5 linked regions of the Xenopus tropicalis genome follow. The protein of the gene in region 2 interacts with the protein of the main gene of each other region in a pairwise test. Links are inferred from orthologs where the notes say so. Each region holds a gene or a part of one and is shown on either strand. Other genes may lie near its edges.

Region 1 (3,500 bases), on a different chromosome or scaffold from region 2:
GGTTAGATTAATACAGGAAGAGAAGGAGACCACAGAGCAGCGAGCAGAGGAGATTGAATCCCGGGTTGGGAGTGGGAGCCTAGATAATTTGGGCCGTTTCAGGTCCATCACTTCAATTCCCCCTTTTACTGGTGGTACTTCTCTTGCCGGATCCTCTCCTCCTGGCAGTGGTCGCTCAACTCCAAGAAGAATACCCCATAGTCCAGCCCGGGAAGTGGATAGGCTGGGTGTCATGACACTGGTAAGTCCTCATTTGAGCATGTGTATTTATATACTCTAGCGATAAAAAGTCAGGGTATGTAGTAGCATAACTGCTCTCTTAATTACAGAATGGCTTCTTTGTACAACTGGGTGGTTCAGTGTTGCTTTATGGCTTTATAATAGGTACAGAATGGAATCTGCATTATCACATTAATATAAGACAGACTGACATTGCTGTGCTAGTAAACACCAAAGAGTAATGCAACTGAATGTTCCATTGATGATGGATTGCTATATTGTTAGCACGCTAGAGCAAATACTGTACTGGAAAGGAATTACTCTGCTGTCAGTAGGATACATTGACTGTTAAACACAGATAGCCAGCCGTATCCCACAGGCATCCTCAGTCAAAGGCTTGGCTATCCCCAGCTCGGAAAAATTCTATAGAGAAACTGATGTGAGCCGTATCAGTAAACCTTTAAAACAAGTGAATGTGAAATTGATGAGTGCTATTCTAAGCACGTTTGCAATGTACATGCATTTTTTATTTTTAATTCCAATATAATAAGGGATAAAGTACTGTCAATATGAATACATTTTGTTACCACAGCGCCACCTGCTGGTCAGCTTCACACCATGCTGTTTGTCTAGGACAGGGGTCCTCATACTTTTTAAGCAGAGGGCCATTTCATTGTCCCTCAGACTGTTGGTGGGCCGGACTAAAGTCCTACCCCCATGTACTCTTACTATAGCCTGCTCCCCGCTGCGTTCTCTGGCTCCCCGCTGCATCTTCCCACAGCTTCCTTGCATCAGATCATAGTGGGGGCTGGGTAAATAACCTTGGGGGACCGTATCCGGCCCGCAGGCCATAGTTTGAGGATTCCTGGTCTAGGAAGAAATAAAGAGGGCTGAGCTGATGTTTTCCTTGTTAGGGAAGACGTGAGACGTTATCTGAGGTTTCTAATGTTTTTCTTGACAACTGCCTTGACTACATCATAGTCAGAAAATGTCCAGCAGGTGGCGCTGATGTGACAATTCACTAATTTTGACAGTACTTCATCCCTTAATATCCTGGAATTAAGAAAAAAAAATAATGAATGTAAATTGAAAAAGTGCTTACACTTGAACTCATCAATTGTACATTCACAAGGTTTACTTATCCTTCATGCTGCTTGTAAGGATCTTCCCTCCCCCATAAGTACTTAGTACATTACAATCATTATTACTAGCACATTGCATAACCCCCCTGTGCGTTCCTTGTTTATCACCCTGCCTTCCCGTCACACTATGCCAGTCATTCCTCTAACGTTCATTATTCTTCCCCCTGCTTGTGTCGCCTTCTGTGAAGGACGGTGTTATATACATCAGCAGGGCTGCCGAGTCCTGAATAATCGGCCACTAACATCTGAATAATAGGAGAACATAATTGTAAATAAGTGTTTTGTCATTGAGTTCCATAAAAGAGACAGAATTAATTCTTAAATACGGACTTACACACAGGGTTAAGCCAGTGTCAATGAAATGTGCTCACAGAGCCCTGCATGGGACATATGTATGGGATAGAATCTCCCCAACTCTGGCGAATACAGGGTTCCCTTGCTATTCTAAAGGGCACCAATATATAGTTTTACATTCAGTGCTGGTGCCCAGGATTGGTGTAGAATTAATGACCTATATGTTTTCAAAGTGGCGGTTCACCTTTAAGTTAACTATGTTATAGAATGGCTAATTCTAAGCAGCTTTTCAACTGGTCTTCATTTTTTTTTTTTATTTATTGTTTTTGAATTATATACCACCTTCTACCTCTTTTGAACATTCAAATGGGGTCAAACAACTATTGCCCTGTGAGGCTACAATTTTATTGTTATCGTTACATTTTATATCTTATCTTTCTATTCAGGTCCTCCCCTATTCATATCCCATTTGATTCAAAGCGATGCCTAGTTGCTGTGGTAGCTTGGACCCTAGCAACCAGATAGCAGCTAAAATTCCAAACTGGAGAGCTGCTGAATAAAAAGCTAAATATATATATCACAAATAATAATAAATGAAGACCAGTTGCAAATTGACTCAGAAGAGTACAGAAGGAGTCATAATGGATACATGGGAAAAACCCCTAAATTTAATCCGATCTGTAAAAATGGCCCCTTTATTGGAGCTCCCTATAGATCCTATCAGTTCTCTGTCCCTGCTTGAAATGAAGGGTGGGCGTGTCCTAACAGTCCCTGCCAGAAGCACAGTAGGAGGGGGACAGCCAATCACAGCCCTGCACTCACACAAGCAAAGGCAGGCTTCAGTTCCCTATTAGGTCAGCCTAGCTGCTGATTGGCTCCTATCCTACAGAGCAGAGTAATGAGAGCCCCCCTGCACATCCCGAGAATTCAGCCGGCAGGAAGTGGAACAGATGGGCGGGGCTAGTGGGGTTTTGGTGGAATTTCTCAATAAATCAGTCTGAACATACAACTTTTTTTAAGCACAATTATTCTATATCTATAATTCATTGGTACATTCAGAATTTCTATAGCATATGTCTCCTTTAAAGGTGAACAACCCCTTTAATGATGAAGACATGCTGAGCTACTAGTAGCAGGTCTTTTTTTACAGCTACAAAACGCCAGAAAATACCCTGCCATAGACAATACTGAGATGTACATACGTAGAGACAATTATCTGCACTTTAGGTTAGCATGACTGGCATAGTAGGGCATTATTATCCCCCCCCAGTACTTAATTGCTTTTTTTTTGTGTATATTATTTTAGCCTTCATCTTCTGACTCAGTTCCCAGTGTGTCTGTAGTTCATTCATCCAGCTCCCCTCCTAGCAATTCCCCCTCCTGCCCCGACTCATCTCACTCATCCCAGGTAAAGATCCCATTGTCTTTCCTTCACTCCCCCCCCCCTTTCAGTGTCACCTGTGTGTCTTTATTATTTATATTTATATATATGCTGCTAAACTGTCTGTGTGTGAATGGTGTGCTTTTCCTCACAATGTAATCTTAATGGGGATGTCCACTTTGAGCAAGTTCCAACCCAATTGGTAGGATTGCAGGGTAAGTAGAACTATCTGCCACTGACCTCACATTAGGGTGGGGCTACCCTGTGGGCAGGTAGTTGCCATTAGGCTAGGGGCCTGGGCAAATTACAGATAGATTGGGGCATTGCTTACATTATTATTATTACTCAATTTTCTGGGACTGCGGCCCATTGCCCAAGTGCACCATCAACTCCTGATATTTGGTGGGCAGAAGCTGTGTCCGTGGCAAATACAGGTCTGTAACAGGTATACGGGAGGCATTGGT
Region 2 (4,204 bases):
CACAGCATACACCATAATAAGCTTACACTGCTAACAGATATAGCCTGTAATCTCTTGTGGGCAGGGCCTGTTGCATCTCTTGTTTCAGTCTCCCATTATCTCTGTTTATTAGTCATTTCCTTGCACATCACTGGTTAATTTGAGATATATATTTATATATATATATAAACTGTATAAAGAAAAAAAATTTATAATATAGGAAAATTTAACAGAGCATCATAAGCTTATATCTACATATAACAGAAATATAATAAATGAATGGGCAGGGATTAAAGGACAACACAGACAAATTCACCGTGGAGATGCCAATTTGTTACCAGCCTCACGGACTCCTGTGGGTGCTACTCATCTTTGAAAAATGTTTTTATTAAAGCACAGAGCTGCCATCTTTTGCTTCTATTTTCCCATTTATTGCATTCACGTGCATTGATTTAGATGCAAGTAAGTGTGTTCTTGTAAGTTCAACAGTCATTTCTTCATTCTATTACATTCTGAACGTGCGTCAAATGCACAAATATAGTAAGTAATTTTAAAACCACTGAAAACCTTTCATTAACATATTTGCTTAAAATTACATTTTCTTTTATTGTACAAAAATACTAGTTGCAGGGATCCACTATTTTCGGATTCATCCAAACCCCGAACCCTTCGTAAAAGATTTGTCCAAATACCGAACCAAATCCAAATTTGCATATGTAAATTAGGACACGGAAGGGTTAACGAGTGCAGCAAAAAATGTTCAACTTCCGTATTTATGTGACAAAAAGTGTTTTTAAGGATTCAGATTTGGTTTGGCCAGGAGCGTGGATTCAGCTGAATATGAATCCTGCTGAAAAAGGCTGAATCTTGGCCAAATCCTAAACCGAATCCTGGATTTGGTGCATCCGTAACTAGTTGTCAATGTTTTACTTGTGTTAAGTGTGACATGAATGTAAGTTTTGGGACAGGTCCATACTCTCCCCCACTCCCTGTACGCTTTCCTTCTCCAGATATAATGACTATGAGATCTCTTTTCAGCCCTGCAGATTTTATAGACATTGAGACAACACCATCACGGGTTTGCCAGTGCTCTGCTTAATTCAGTAAATTGCTTCCCAGCTAATGCTCTATAGTCACTAAAAATAACTACCAATCTAATCCTCTTTTAAACGGGATCCCCTACATTGTAGCTTATACTGTTCAGCTTTTCACCATTATTAGCATGTAAATGTAACTGATGTGCCAAATAGCACTCTGTATAATTAGCACTGGCATCACATGATCCCATCTGTTAATTAACCGGTGCCGAATAGGCTTATAAAATAAACACCAGATGACAGGCTAGAGATAATTCCCAGAGCATGCTGCCCTTCCATGCCCAGGCTAACTAAGTAATACAGCGATGTCAAACCTGCGGCCCTCCAGCGATTGTTTAACTACATCTCCCATCAGCAGGGTCAGCAGCCTCTGTTACTTTTTTGTAAACATTATCCCAATGAGTAGCACCCCCCAAGTGGAGTCGGAGTCAGAAGCAACTACTGAGTAGCTGAAGGATTTATGTAAAGACTCCATAGACTGGCCAGGGCTGTGGAGTCAGATTTGTAGAGTCAGAAGCAAATTTGGGTACCTGGAGTCTGAAGTACCATAAACTGAGGAGTCACTGGATATATGTACCAACTCCAAAGCCCTGCCCTATAATTGCACCTTAGGCACATGCCCCTTCTGCCTACCCCTAGTTCTGGGCTTACCTACCATTCTTCAACATATAACAAAGGAGTTGTGGGGCCAGCAACACTTGGGAACCCAAAGGTTCTGTTCCAAACAGAGTTCTAATGTTTGCCGCCTGTGCCCAACTCATATGCCTACTGTCTATAAGTTACAGCAGAACAAACCAGGCTGTAAACCCCAAAATACCATGTTTGCCTAATAAAAAACGTAAATCTACGAAACTTTCCAACAGAAATTCATAAACATTTTTCAATGGTCTTAAAGAGATACTGACACCAGAAAGTAAATCTTTTTTTTTACATCTATAATAACATTGTCTTTGCAAGAACTTTAGAATTTTGCCATAAAAATATTTGCCTGATGCGTTTACATTACCTGTCTGATCCTCGGTTCCTCTAAGTGGGGGCAGCCATATTTGTCTGTTAGCATTAGAAGCTGTAACTGACAGGCTGGGAAGGGACAGTCAGGTTGGCAAAACAGTCAGGTGTAGGAACTTCAAGTAACAATTACTTACAAAAGCAAACCTGTCAGCGAGACACCATCAACATGACCTATAGGTAACTTTTTATGTATATTCATATTTTAAAGTGAACTGTAAATGTAATTGCCATTTAGATCTGTCTAATGAAGCACTGTAGCAGCAGCCACTTGCCTGTTCCTAGCCCTGTCTGTGAATCAGCTGCCCTCTGCTACATTGTTTCACTAGTTACAACCAGCAGTTTGACAGATGAAGCTATCAAAAGAAGTTCTACTTACAAATAACTTTAACACAATGGGACATTTGTAATAAATATATTTGTATATATAAGTTTAGCTCAGAGATAAATTGTTAAGAAGTTTGCTATCTTTAGGTTTCTATGAGCTTTAATATTCCAGCTGTAAGAATAGTATCCATACCATTGATGTTCTTGGAAGTCTCTGGGGTGAGACAGAGGCAGTTCGTTGTTGTTGCCTTTCCCCCAACTCCCGTTCGTACAGGGCAAGCGGTGCTTTGGTGTAGGGGTTCACAGGGGTCCTCACACAGGCGGCAGCGAGCACTGATTCCTTGTGAGCCTGCGCCATATTGGCACGGAACCTTCAGCTTTGGCCGCTGCCTGGCAACCGCCGACGCTACGGAGTCTGCGAGAGACCAACCTCTAAAGCGATCACAAACTGAAGCCACGCCACATGGCATGAGAGAAAGGAGACAATAACCTAGAGCGCGCTGTTTTCAGAGCAGCAACTGGCGCAGGCTTCCAGAGTTTTGCATCCAGCTTTAGTTTATCTGCCGCAGAATGAGACTAATGATGGTGGAAATGCGAGTGCTTAGGGTACTCCCAAAGGCAGAGCATAACCAGCTCCAAACTTCAGCCCACACATATACATTTGGCGACATCTAAAGCGCCGGCTGCCAACACAATACTCTAGCTCCGCTTTCCTATAGGGCGCTCTAGCGATAGTGCCCACCCTGCGCTCTGATTGGCTGAGGCGAGAGCACTACAGCCCCCTCCGCACGGATTTGGAAGAGAGCGGATAATAATCCCGGTAGGGGCGGAATAATGCACAAAGTGCAGTTATTAGTTTATTTGCCTTCAGATAGCTTTTCATATGCCCGTGGTTTTTAATTTGTGTGCCCAAGAGCCAGAGAAGGGGTGGGTAAGGCTCATAAGGGTGACCATAGGAGGTGCCTACTTACTTACAAAGGCTCATTGTTGAATTTAGGGTGATCTCTTCTTTTTTTACGCTAGACCTTCCTGGCATTAAGGTTAAACTATTAAAGTTGTAATACATTTCAAAGCATTGTGGGAACTGTAATCTTACTGAATAGCATCCTTTATTTTCTGTAAATTACTTTTTGGGTGCTTGATCATAATTTAGGAGCATTATAAATAGCACTTGACTATACTCCTATGGCATGTGTGTACCTTTCATGTATATTTATGTTATTTTACACAAACAAATTAAGGTTACACATACCTTAAAGGAGACATATCTTATAAAAATAATGAATGTACCAGTGAATTATACTCCTCTAGACATAGAAGGAATGTGCTTTAAAAAGTTGTATTTCAGACTGATTTATTGAGAAATTCCCCCAAACCCCACTAGCCCCGCCCATCTGTTCCACTTCCTGCTGGCTGAATTCTTTGGATGTGCAGGGGGTGCCAGCGGCCCTCCATAAACTGCACTGTAGGATAGGAACCAATCAGCAGCTAGGCTGACCTGATAGGGAACTGAAGCCTGTCTGTGCTTGTGTGAGTGCAGGGCTGTGATTGGCTCTCCTCCTCCTACTGTGCTTCTGGCAGGGACTGTTGGGACACGCCCACTCTTCATTTCTATAGGGAGCTCCAATAAAGAGGCCATTGTTACAGAGAGGATTAATTTTTAGCACAAAGTGAAATCAGCACCATATATTATTCATAATTGCCTACAAAATTAGCGTTTTTCCCCTTTATCCAATATGTCTCCTTTAATGTAAAATCATTCAGAATATCCTTCCGAGCACTTTTGCAATTTA
Region 3 (3,500 bases), on a different chromosome or scaffold from region 2:
CTGCAGTGGCATGTGGATGTTGTCCTTTCCCTATAAGTCTGTGTAGGCCTGCATTAAGATCTGATTGTTGGCCAATGGGTCAGGAGAGGAGAGGGAGTGAGCATAGGTATAGTGCCTAGGGCAGCACTGGACCTAAATACAACCCTAAAGGGATCACATTTAGTATCATGTTTTAGAGAATAAGATTGCTCAGAGCAGCAGTTCTGTAAGGGCTGTGACAGACGGCGGCGACTAATCTCCCCAAAATGCCATCCCACCGGCTAGAATGGAAATCGCCGGTGGGATGGCATACGCGGCGCCGAAATCACCAAAGTTTCCTCTCAAAGCAACTTTGCCGATTTCAGCAACTCGCTGCACCGCGTATGCCATCCCACTTGCGATTTACATTCTAGCCAGTGGGATGGCATTTCGGGGAGATTTGTCACGCTGCTACTAATCTCCCCGTCTGTCACAGCCCTAAGTGTTTATGTATGTATTTAATTAGACCTTTCTGATAAAGCTTACTTAGTTTTTACCTTGCCTTCTCCTTTAAACAAAAACTTAATTCCTAGGATGAAAGTTTCCTTACATCACTATTATTTCTGGGACATAAATTTCATACCATTGCTAATTTTTTATTGGCTGGAAGATACACAGCAAGCAAAGCAGCACCGCATAGCCTTAAAAGTAAAATGCCTGAATATTTAAAAAGCAAAATGTGTGCAACCTATTGGTGTGCAAAGAACCCTCACATTTTGGAAATATATTTTTATAGTCGGTTGCCTTTTTACTGCCAACAGGTTAATTCTGACACTTAAAGGGCATCTATGACCTCTATATTGTTTTTCCCACCAAAAGGGTGGGCTAATAGAATTAGCACTCCAGTTGGGGGAAACATAAGTTTTTTTTAAGAAAACCTCACCGGGCCGGGAGGGAGCTTCCAGTGTGGGTGGCCAAGTTGGTAGGCGTGTATAATAAGGAGTCGCGCTGGTACAACCTATATTGTCAGTGCATCAGGTGTTAGAATCCTTTCCGGGCCAAGGTGAAGTAATGAGCAAATATAAATAAAAATCAGTGGCTGGCCGTTGGAGGGGTAGACAAGAAGAGGCAATGCTGACTGCGCCCCCTATGTTTAGCGCCCTAAGCAGCTGCCTCTTCTGCCTACCCCTAGTTCTGGCCCTGTGCTTGTGTCCCAACATGGCTGCCCCCCCATGGGCTCCCTCCTGGTGTGCTCAGCACTGGCGGGGGCAGTTATTTTTTTTGGAGTGTGGGCTCTATTAGCCTGCACCTCTGGTGGGAGAAACAATATAGGGTGCCCTTTAAATCTTATTAACTTACTACAGTAAGTAGCCAGCTCAGGATTTTGTTCTTGACTAGGGTTGCCACCTGTCCAGTTTTGCCCCGGTTTTTGGAAGGGCTGTCCGGGTCTAAACTGCCTGCCTGGTTTTCCCAATTTAGAAAATTGGCCAATCGTCGTTCGCCACATCATAGTCCCGCCGATGTAACATTATGTCCCCGCCCCTATGATATCACACCCCGCCCACTGACACCACATCTCAGCCCCCCCACCCAAATTTACGGCCATGGAAAAGTGACAACCCTATTCTTGACTGGAACTGCAGGCTCATTTTTAATTGACGCTGGTGTTGTATTAAACGGTTTCAGAGGATAGAATCTGACTTATGTGCTGTACTCTCCCATTTAGGGTTGCATCAGATTTGGGTTTATGTACAATATTTTACTAATCTTATTTTAGGATAGATATTTTTATGCCAGTATAGAAGATTCTTTTGATATATGATGCAATGTTTCTGGTCATTGCCATCACAAGGATAGGCAACTTTTGACTTTCTCTTTGTGATATTATACCACCTCTAACTCAGGTAGGATGTTACACTATTACACTAATACTTTAATTTTTTTTTATTACTATGCTATTATTTGGCAACTTTCACACTAGTAAATTTCTCAGCAAAATAATAGCTGTAACTTTTCTCACCTGCATTTGCCTACAATCCTTTTCCATTGTGGAACTGGCAAACCTGCATGATTGTTGCATGGCAATGTACTTATCTGTGTTTTAAGGTCACAGCTGTTCAGCTGCAGCATTTATGTGGTAATTTCAGTTGACTACAATACAAAGTGACTGGACTACTGTTTCCAATGTCCAGCTCCTCTGGTATCCAAATAGTGGCCTAGTGTAAAGGTCCCCATACACTGGCCGATAGTAGCCGCCGATATCGGTCCCTTGGACCGATTTGGCAGCTAATCGGTCCGTGTATGGGAACTTCCGACGGACCTTCCCGACCGATATCTGGCCTGAAATCGGCCAGATCTCGATCGGGCAGGTTAGAAAATCTAGTCTGATCGAGGACCGCATCGGCTCGTTGATGTGGTCCCCGGACCAACTTTACCTATGCCCGTCATTATAATTCGATCGTTTGGCCCCAGGGCCAAACGATCGAATTACCCTGGATTCTCCCGATATCGCCCACCTGTAGGTGGGGGATATCGGGAGAAGATCCGCTCACTTGGCGACATCGCCAATGTATGGGGACTTTAAGATTAGCAACCTGTTTAATCCAGACATTATAATATGAACCAGATTAAAGCATCTGGATTTATTTGTCCATTTTTTTCAGATGAAGGGGCTAGAATGAAAAAGCTCAGGTATTTATTTTGGAACGGTCACACTTTAGTTTTACTTTTTTGAGGCTGAATTACTCTGCCCTGCATAATGTGTTTTGCTAATAATCAGTAAGCACAAACATCGTTATACTGTGCATCATTGCCCTCCACATTAACACAGTAATACAACTGCAGTGGGTATAGTGAACAAGGATTAGAGGACCAGTAATATGGTCCGATTGCCATCTATGAGTCTGTTTTTTTAACTAGCGGATATTTTCTATTTTCAACCTATGTTACTATTGTTTCCTCAACTCAGAGTGCCCTGATTGGTGCCCTTTAAAGGAGAAGGAAAGGCAAAGTCACTTGGGGGTGCCAAAATGTTAGCCGACTTCTTCTGTTAAAGTTCGGCTTTTCACTCGCGTGCAGTGAACCAGGAAGAAGGAAACGCTGGCAGCTACCCCGGGCTGGTACTGTTCTCTCTGAACAGGGGCACCAGCCCGGGGTAAAGGGTAAGCTATTGAAGTCACTTGGGGGTGCCTAACATTTTGGCACCCCCAAGTGACTTTGCCTTTCCTTCTCCTTTAAAGGGCACCAATCAGGGCACTCTGAGTTGAGGAAACAATAAAACAAATAAAACATAAAAATGAAATTATATAACTGCAGTAACTCTTTCCAGAAGCATGTAAACCTATTACCAATAAATACTCTTTCAGCTCTAAAAACGCCGAAATTGATCACTGTCGAGAGGGGTATGAGAAAGTCAAATGCCAACTGGAGAGGAAAATTGTGGACGTGCAAAGTGATCTGGATTTACAAAAACAGGTGAGATGATCATAGGAACTAGTTAATAACCTGTTTAATTTGTGGGATAAGGAGATATTAAGCATTTT
Region 4 (3,500 bases), about 130 Mb from region 2:
TGTAAGGGCAGTCAGGTTATGGGGTTCCTACCCAGAGAGGGGGAATGAGTGATACATTGGGGGTGGGGAGGAAAGGGGATCTCACCATCAGCATAGGAAGGGGTTCCTTACTGTAAGGGCAGTCAGGTTATGGGGTTCCCTACCCAGAGAGGGGAATGAGTGATACATTGGGGGTGGGGAGGAAAGGGGATCTCACCAATCAGCATAGGAAGGGGTTCCTTACTGTAAGGGCAGTCAGGTTATGGGGTTCCCTACCAAGAGAGGGGGAATGGAGTGATACATTGAAGGTGGGGAGGAAAGGGGATCTCACCATCAGCATAGGAAGGGTTCCTTACTGTAAGGGCAGTCAGGTTATGGGTTCCCTACCAAGAGAGGGGGGATGAGTGATACATTGGGGGTGGGAGGAAAGGGGATCTCACCATCAGCATAGGAAGGGGTTCCTTACTGTAAGGGGCAGTCAGGTTATGGGGTTCCCTACCAAGAGAGGGGGAATGAGTGATACATTGGGGGTGGGGAGGAAAGGGGATCTCACCATCAGCATAGGAAGGGGTTCCTTACTGTAAGGGCAGTCAGGTTATGGGGTTCCCTACCAAGAGAGGGGGAATGAGTGATACATTGGGGGTGGGGAGGAATGGGGATCTCACCATCAGCATAGGAGGGGCTCTGTACCTGCAGGAAGGCTGCCATTTGTGGCTCCTCCATGGACTGAATGGAAGACTCTACCAGTTTGGAGGTGCCCTCTAGGTGGTCCCCATGCTTGCGGATGAGCCCCCGCACACACTGCAGTTTCTCCTCCTGTTGCCGGGTAACCACTTGCAGCAGTTCCTTCTTGCGCTCCTCCAGGATGTTATAGAGGGAGTCGAAGCGTTGGCTGAGGAGCTGCTTCTGCCGGCGGCTGTTATCCTGCAGGGGATTGGGCACAAGGTACCGTCACAGCTCTGCCATTAGTAATCATGGGTACGCAGGCCCCTCCCCCAGGGAGCCCCAGTTAGTAGCACATTGGTCCTGTAGGGCACCCTGAGAGGCGAACCCTGCCAAATACAAATGGGTCCCCAAAGAAAAGAGCCCCCCTCTGATCCCTCCTCATCTGAAAACACCCCCATTATGCATCTCCCACACTGACTCCACCCACTCTATTACAAACCCCGCCCTGCCCATGGGGCCCTCAGACTCACCTCGATGCTCTTGCAGATCTCCTCCATCTGGGAGATGATCGCCTGGATCCGGTCGTTTCCTGCCACCAGCATGGCAATGCCGTCACTCAGCTCACTCTGGGGGTACAGCAATATCAGGTGACCCCACATTCCCCACTACATTTTGCATCAATAAGATCACTGTGATTGGCTGAGTTGAAGCTGATCCCCAATGTAGTGCCCTATGATTGGCTCCAGCATGAGGTTAATGATATAGGGCCCCAAACCCCTCCCATTCCCCGCCCCCTGGTACCTTCTGTCGTTTGTAGATGTTGGAGAGAGGGGCCACCTCGCAGTCTTTATGGGCCCCAAACACTTTGCACATAGAGCAGGTCGGTACCTCGCAGCTCAGGCAGTAGATGTTGATCTTCTCATCCTCATGTTCCTCACACATGAGGTGCTGCTCAGATTTGGGGTTCATGGGCCTAGGCAGGGGGGGAATACAGTTCAGAAAGGATTTGGTGCTGGTTTGCCCTTCTATGTAGTGACTACTCTTTACCCTACAGGGCTTAATCTTTATGCGTATGGTCTACTGGGAGTTAAGTTGGCTTGAGCCTTCCCTCGGGGGTGTTGCCCCGCTCCTCAGGGTGACTGGGGGGGCTCTCCCTGTCTATCCTTGGCTTGAGCCTTCCCTCGGGGGTGTTGCCCCGCTCCTCAGGGTGACTGGGGGGGCTCTCCCTGTCTATCTTGCTTGAGCCTTCCCTCGGGGGTGTTGCCCCGCTCCTCAGGGTGACTGGGGGGGCTCCTCCCTGTCTATCCTTGGCTTGAGCCTTCCCTCGGGGTGTTGCCCCGCTCCTCAGGGTGACTGGGGGGGCTCTCCCTGTCTATCCTTGGCTTGAGCCTTCCCTCGGGGGTGTTGCCCCGCTCCTCAGGGTGACTGGGGGGGCTCTCCCTGTCTATCCTTGGCTTGAGCCTTCCCTCGGGGTGTTGCCCCGCTCCTCAGGGTGACTGGGGGGGGGGCTCTCCCTGTCTATCCTTGGCTTGAGCCTTCCCTCGGGGGTGTTGCCCCGCTCCTCAGGGTGACTGGGGGGGCTCTCCCTGTCTATCCTTGGCTTGAGCCTTCCCTCGGGGTGTTGCCCCGCTCCTCAGGGGTGACTGGGGGGGGGGCTCTCCCTGTCTATCCTTGGCTTGAGCCTTCCCTCGGGGGTGTTTGCTCTGCTCCTCAGGGTGAACTGGGGGGGCTCTCCTGTCTATCCTTGGCTTGAGCCTTCCCTCGGGGTGTTGCCCCGCTCCTCAGGGTGACTGGGGGGGGGCTCTCCCTGTCTATCCTTGGCTTGAGCCTTCCCTCGGGGGTGTTGCTCTGCTCCTCAGGGTGACTGGGGGGGCTCTCCCTGTCTATCCTTGGTTTGAGCCTTCCCTCGGGGGTGTTGCCCCCGCTCCTCAGGGTGACTGGGGGGGGCTCTCCCTGTCTATCCTTGGCTTGAGCCTTCCCTCGGGGGTGTTGCCCCGCTCCTCAGGGTGACTGGGGGGGCTCTCCCTGTCTATCCTTGCTTGAGCCTTCCTCGGGGTGTTGCCCCGCTCCTCAGGGTGACTGGGGGGGCTCTCCCTGTCTATCCTTGGCTTGAGCCTTCCTCGGGGGTGTTGCCCACTCCTCAGGGTGACTGGGGGGGGCTCTCCCTGTCTATCCTTGGCTTGAGCCTTCCCTCGGGGTGTTGCCCCGCTCCTCAGGGTGACTGGGGGGGCTCTCCCTGTCTATCCTTGGCTTGAGCCTTCCCTCGGGGGTGTTGCCCCGCTCCTCAGGGTGACTGGGGGGGCTCTCCCCTGTCTATCCTTGGCTTGAGCTTCCCTCGGGGGTGTTTGCCCCGTCCTCAGGGTGACTGGGGGGGCTCTCCCTGTCTATCCTTGGCTTGAGCCTTCCCTCGGGGTGTTGCCCCGCTCCTCAGGGTGACTGGGGGGGGCTCTCCCTGTCTATCCTTGGCTTGAGCCTTCCCTCGGGGGTGTTGCCCGCTCCTCAGGGTGACTGGGGGGCTCTCCCTGTCTATCCTTGGCTTGAGCCTTCCCTCGGGGGTGTTGCCCCGCTCCTCAGGGTGACTGGGGGGGCTCTCCCTGTCTATCCTTGGCTTGAGCCTTCCTCGGGGTGTTGCCCCGCTCCTCAGGGTGACTGGGGGGGCTCTCCCTGTCTATCCTTGGCTTGAGCCTTCCCTCGGGGTGTTGCCCCGCTCCTCAGGGTGACTGGGGGGCTCTCCCTGTCTATCCTTGGCTTGAGCTTCCTCGGGGGTGTTGCCCCGCTCCTCAGGGTGACTGGGGGGGGGGCTCTCCCTGTCTATCCTTGGCTTGAGCCTTCCCTCGGGGGTGTTGCCCCGCTCC
Region 5 (3,500 bases), on a different chromosome or scaffold from region 2:
GTTGCTAGATGACAGTGTGCCTTAGCCAGGAATGGTGCACACATGCTCCCCCCTATGCCACTGAAGAATAGAAGAGTCCAACTCTCCCCCATGTTTGGTGTTTGGATGTTCCTGTTGGCCCTGTTACATAAGCCTGTACCATTGAAAATGTGACTTGAATTTGACCGATTATCGTTTTTAAAGGGGTAGTTAACTTTTAGTATGTTATAGAATGGTCAATTCTTAGCAACTTTTTTTTATTGGTCTTTATCTTTTATTTTATATAGTTTTTAAATTATTTGCCTTCTTCTTCTGACTTTTTCCAGATTTCAAATGGGGGTCACTCTCCCTGGCAGCAAAAATACTTTTTGTTACTTTTTATTATGTAAGTTTCTATTCAGCCCCTCTCCTATTGCTTTTCCAGTTTTAAAACCACCACCTGGTTACCCATCTATGTGCTAAAATGGAGAGTTAAACAAGAAGCTAAATAATAAAAACACAAATAAAAAATGAAGACCAATTGCAAATATTCTGAGAATATCACTCTCTACATCATTAATGTTAATTTTAAGTTGTAAACTCCCCCTTTAAGTTGGACATCACTGACCTTCCCTAAAGGAAGACCACAAATGGTAACACAGAAAATGCTTGTGTGTTATTTACTGATGGATTTTCTTACTTATTGGGTCGTATAACATGTCTGCTTCTCAGTTGTTGTTTTACTCGGCATGATTGGTCACTGCGACAGCCAACAAATGGTTTCAGGCAGTAACGTGACAGCTTAGCCACCTAAACCATTGTGTGCTATTCACCTGAAGTACCTGAGTAATATATATACTCTGGCTTTATTCAAAGATTGGCAAATAGAGTATTCTTCATTAACACAAAACAATTTACTAATCCAGAACAATTTGATTAATTGCAACTGTGAGCAATAAAGCACTGATAATCTGCTAAATCAGCAAATATCCGCTGTTCCACAAACAAGCGCACACTCTGCTTCCCCTGGGAACGATATTCTCTGTTTATAACTACAGTTAATTGCTTGGGGTGAACTCCAGACGTTTCCATGAAAGAATCCTTGTGTGCTTTATCTATAGTGTTTAGCTTGAGCAGTATGGGAAGGAAATAATATGATAAGGAAATGCTCAGCTGTATTTGTACCAGGGTTGTATTGTTGGTGAGATGGAATGCCCGAAACCTTTGTACTTTGCTTTAGACAATGGCTTCAAAGTGATTCCATACATGTAAAATTATATTTTTAGAAATGGACATGATAGAATAGCATAGGTGTACCTGAGCCTTTTTTGCCTTAATAATAAAAACACTTATGGTCACTCACGGGTCCCCTGATACACAGAAGGAATGTAGCAGTAGACTGAAGTCATGGAACTTAAACTGGAATAACTTTTATTATTGTCTTTTTTCAGTAAAGTGAAATGCAACATGAATTTAGCAGTATGATTAGAAATGCATTGGGAATGTTGTAAAGCTTCCATATATTTAAGTGTTCTTTCTCTTGTGTATTTCTCTAGGTGGTTTATGCAGTCCTCTGTATTTAGATTATCTACACTATGGCTGCCTTGCAAGCTCTTCCATTATCCATTGACCAAAACGCTGAGGTCAGTGGTAGCCAAAGCCATACAAACACCAGGTCGCCTGTCACAGAGAACACCATGGGAAGCGTCAGCAGCTTAATCTCTGGGAGGACATACCATGACAAGCAGTGCAAGGCCTCTGAATTGAGCAACAAGTGCCGCAAACCTACCAACATGCCAAACTGTTTTAAGCAGCAAGAGGGGCTTATAAAAAGTAATTACAGCTCACAGGATCCTCTGTTTAATGGGCTTCCTACAAAGAAACCCTCTACTACTACCTCTGGAAATAATGGGAATTATGTCTACGTCAACGAGGACTTTAAAGAGGAATGGCATGAACCTAGAGTACCAATCAGCCCCTCTAGTGATGCTGAAGATATTCGGGAAGAGAGAGCTCTTAATGGGAATATAAGAGGGCCTCCCCCCAAACTCATCCCAGTCTCTGGCAAATTAGAAAAGGTAATAGTTGATTGGTTATTGGGTGCAAATATGTATTCATTCATTTTTTTTGAAGGGCATGTTTTCCCTGATATCAACTTTTAGCATGATGTAGATGTTGATATTCTGGGACAATTTGTAGTTAGTTTTCCTTTTTTATTTTTTGTAGTTTTTTTTCAGTTATTTAGATTTTTGTTCAGCAGATCTCTAGTTTGGAATTTCAGCAGCTATCTGGTTGCTAGGGTCTTGTTTACCTTAGCAACCAGGCAGTGGTGGGAATGAGAGACAGGAATATGAATAGAAGAGCAACTAAATAGATAAGAAATAAAATGTAACTTTTATTTTTGGCTGATGGGGTCAGTGACCCCCATGTGAAAGCTGGAAAGATGTAGGTGAAGCAGGCAAATAATTCAAAGTATAAAAAAAAATAAATGAAGACCAAATGCAAAGTTGCTAGAAATAGTACATTATAACATACTAAAAGTTGGTGAGAGTATATGGTCCAAAATACTTATTTGATTAAATCTACTAGTCCCTTTATAGCAGTCAACTAGTGCTCTACTCGCCTGTGTATTTGGCCTTCAGTTTATTTCATGGAATAGTGCCCCCCATGATCCAACTAAAGGCATTTTAAAAATATGGTTATTTCCAAATAAATCTCTAGGTTGAGAAGGGGACGGGGCCATCCATTCCATTGTGATTTTAGTGAGGGTGGAAGACAGCAGGTCAGTGGAAAGGCCTTGTGTGTGACCCCTAAAGCCCCACTATGGGACAGACAGAAAGTAGCAGTCAGTAGGTAGGACTGCAATTAGCACAAAGCTTACAATTACAGCTATTTGCATATTTGCACAATGTTGGGCTGTGGGCTATTTACATTGTCAAATTTCAAACAAAACACCTAATGATGATGCATCAGCTTTTATACTGGCGTTTCCTTTATTCCGGCAGCTTCCCGTAAATCCCGTAAAATACACAATTTGCAGCTTGTTATTTTTCTAGGTGTTTTAGGGATTCTTTTGACGCATTTATATCTAATCTTAAAGGCTGGAGGTGGGATCGGAAATCCCAGTCAAGCATAGAGCTTAGTGTTTCTGTTCACTTACTGCTTTATTTTTAGCTCATAATTACAAATCCCTCCTGAAATGTGCAATTCAAATGGGCAAGTCCAGCACGTCAATTAAAGGCAGCTTTTAGTTCCTGTTCCACATCCTCTGAGTAATGATAGGTGCTGTTACCTAAGCATCTCCCGTCTTAGTACGGGCGCTGTAGGATGCCTGAATTAAACCAGTACAGAACATTGTATATAGATAAACTCGTGTTCCTTCTGGAAGGTTTAATACACATACAGTAGAGCATTCAAATTTGCCCTGGTCAGACAACTTCTAGCTGCTGGCTTATGCAATTAGACTAGTTGCTAATAAAGGTCTTGGATCAGTTGTTACAGACCCCCAATAGTATTAGTTGCCCATGCAGACATGTGATCTG

The links. The genes of interacting proteins can lie anywhere in the genome.
Region 1: the proteins of fam161a (region 2) and ppfia1 interact in binary tests that used the Homo sapiens proteins (3 or more experiments, as listed by UniProt). The link is inferred for Xenopus tropicalis from reciprocal best matches to the Homo sapiens genes FAM161A and PPFIA1.
Region 3: the proteins of fam161a (region 2) and ccdc57 interact in binary tests that used the Homo sapiens proteins (3 or more experiments, as listed by UniProt). The two-hybrid records come from large-scale screens. The link is inferred for Xenopus tropicalis from reciprocal best matches to the Homo sapiens genes FAM161A and CCDC57.
Region 4: the proteins of fam161a (region 2) and trim54 interact in binary tests that used the Homo sapiens proteins (3 or more experiments, as listed by UniProt). The two-hybrid records come from large-scale screens. The link is inferred for Xenopus tropicalis from reciprocal best matches to the Homo sapiens genes FAM161A and TRIM54.
Region 5: the proteins of fam161a (region 2) and lzts2 interact in binary tests that used the Homo sapiens proteins (3 or more experiments, as listed by UniProt). The two-hybrid records come from large-scale screens. The link is inferred for Xenopus tropicalis from reciprocal best matches to the Homo sapiens genes FAM161A and LZTS2.

Annotation. Positions count from the first base shown.
Region 1 is NC_030680.2:14,532,028-14,535,527, forward strand, and holds part of ppfia1 (liprin-alpha-1), read left to right. Parts: intron 1-6; coding exon 7-241; intron 242-2,961; coding exon 2,962-3,063; intron 3,064-3,500. UniProt on the Homo sapiens protein: May regulate the disassembly of focal adhesions. May localize receptor-like tyrosine phosphatases type 2A at specific sites on the plasma membrane, possibly regulating their interaction with the extracellular environment and their association with substrates.
Region 2 is NC_030681.2:33,455,251-33,459,454, reverse strand, and holds the start of fam161a (protein FAM161A), read right to left. Parts: upstream 2,801-4,204; 5' UTR 2,770-2,800; coding exon 2,605-2,769; intron 1-2,604. UniProt on the Homo sapiens protein: Involved in ciliogenesis.
Region 3 is NC_030686.2:27,518,148-27,521,647, reverse strand, and holds part of ccdc57 (coiled-coil domain-containing protein 57), read left to right. Parts: intron 1-3,323; coding exon 3,324-3,432; intron 3,433-3,500. UniProt on the Homo sapiens protein: Pleiotropic regulator of centriole duplication, mitosis, and ciliogenesis. Critical interface between centrosome and microtubule-mediated cellular processes. Centriole duplication protein required for recruitment of CEP63, CEP152, and PLK4 to the centrosome.
Region 4 is NC_030681.2:162,391,351-162,394,850, forward strand, and holds part of trim54 (tripartite motif-containing protein 54), read right to left. Parts: intron 1,619-3,500; coding exon 1,447-1,618; intron 1,272-1,446; coding exon 1,176-1,271; intron 904-1,175; coding exon 670-903; intron 1-669. UniProt on the Homo sapiens protein: May bind and stabilize microtubules during myotubes formation.
Region 5 is NC_030683.2:29,786,038-29,789,537, forward strand, and holds part of lzts2 (leucine zipper putative tumor suppressor 2 homolog), read left to right. Parts: intron 1-1,514; 5' UTR 1,515-1,553; coding exon 1,554-2,036; intron 2,037-3,500. UniProt on the Homo sapiens protein: Negative regulator of katanin-mediated microtubule severing and release from the centrosome. Required for central spindle formation and the completion of cytokinesis.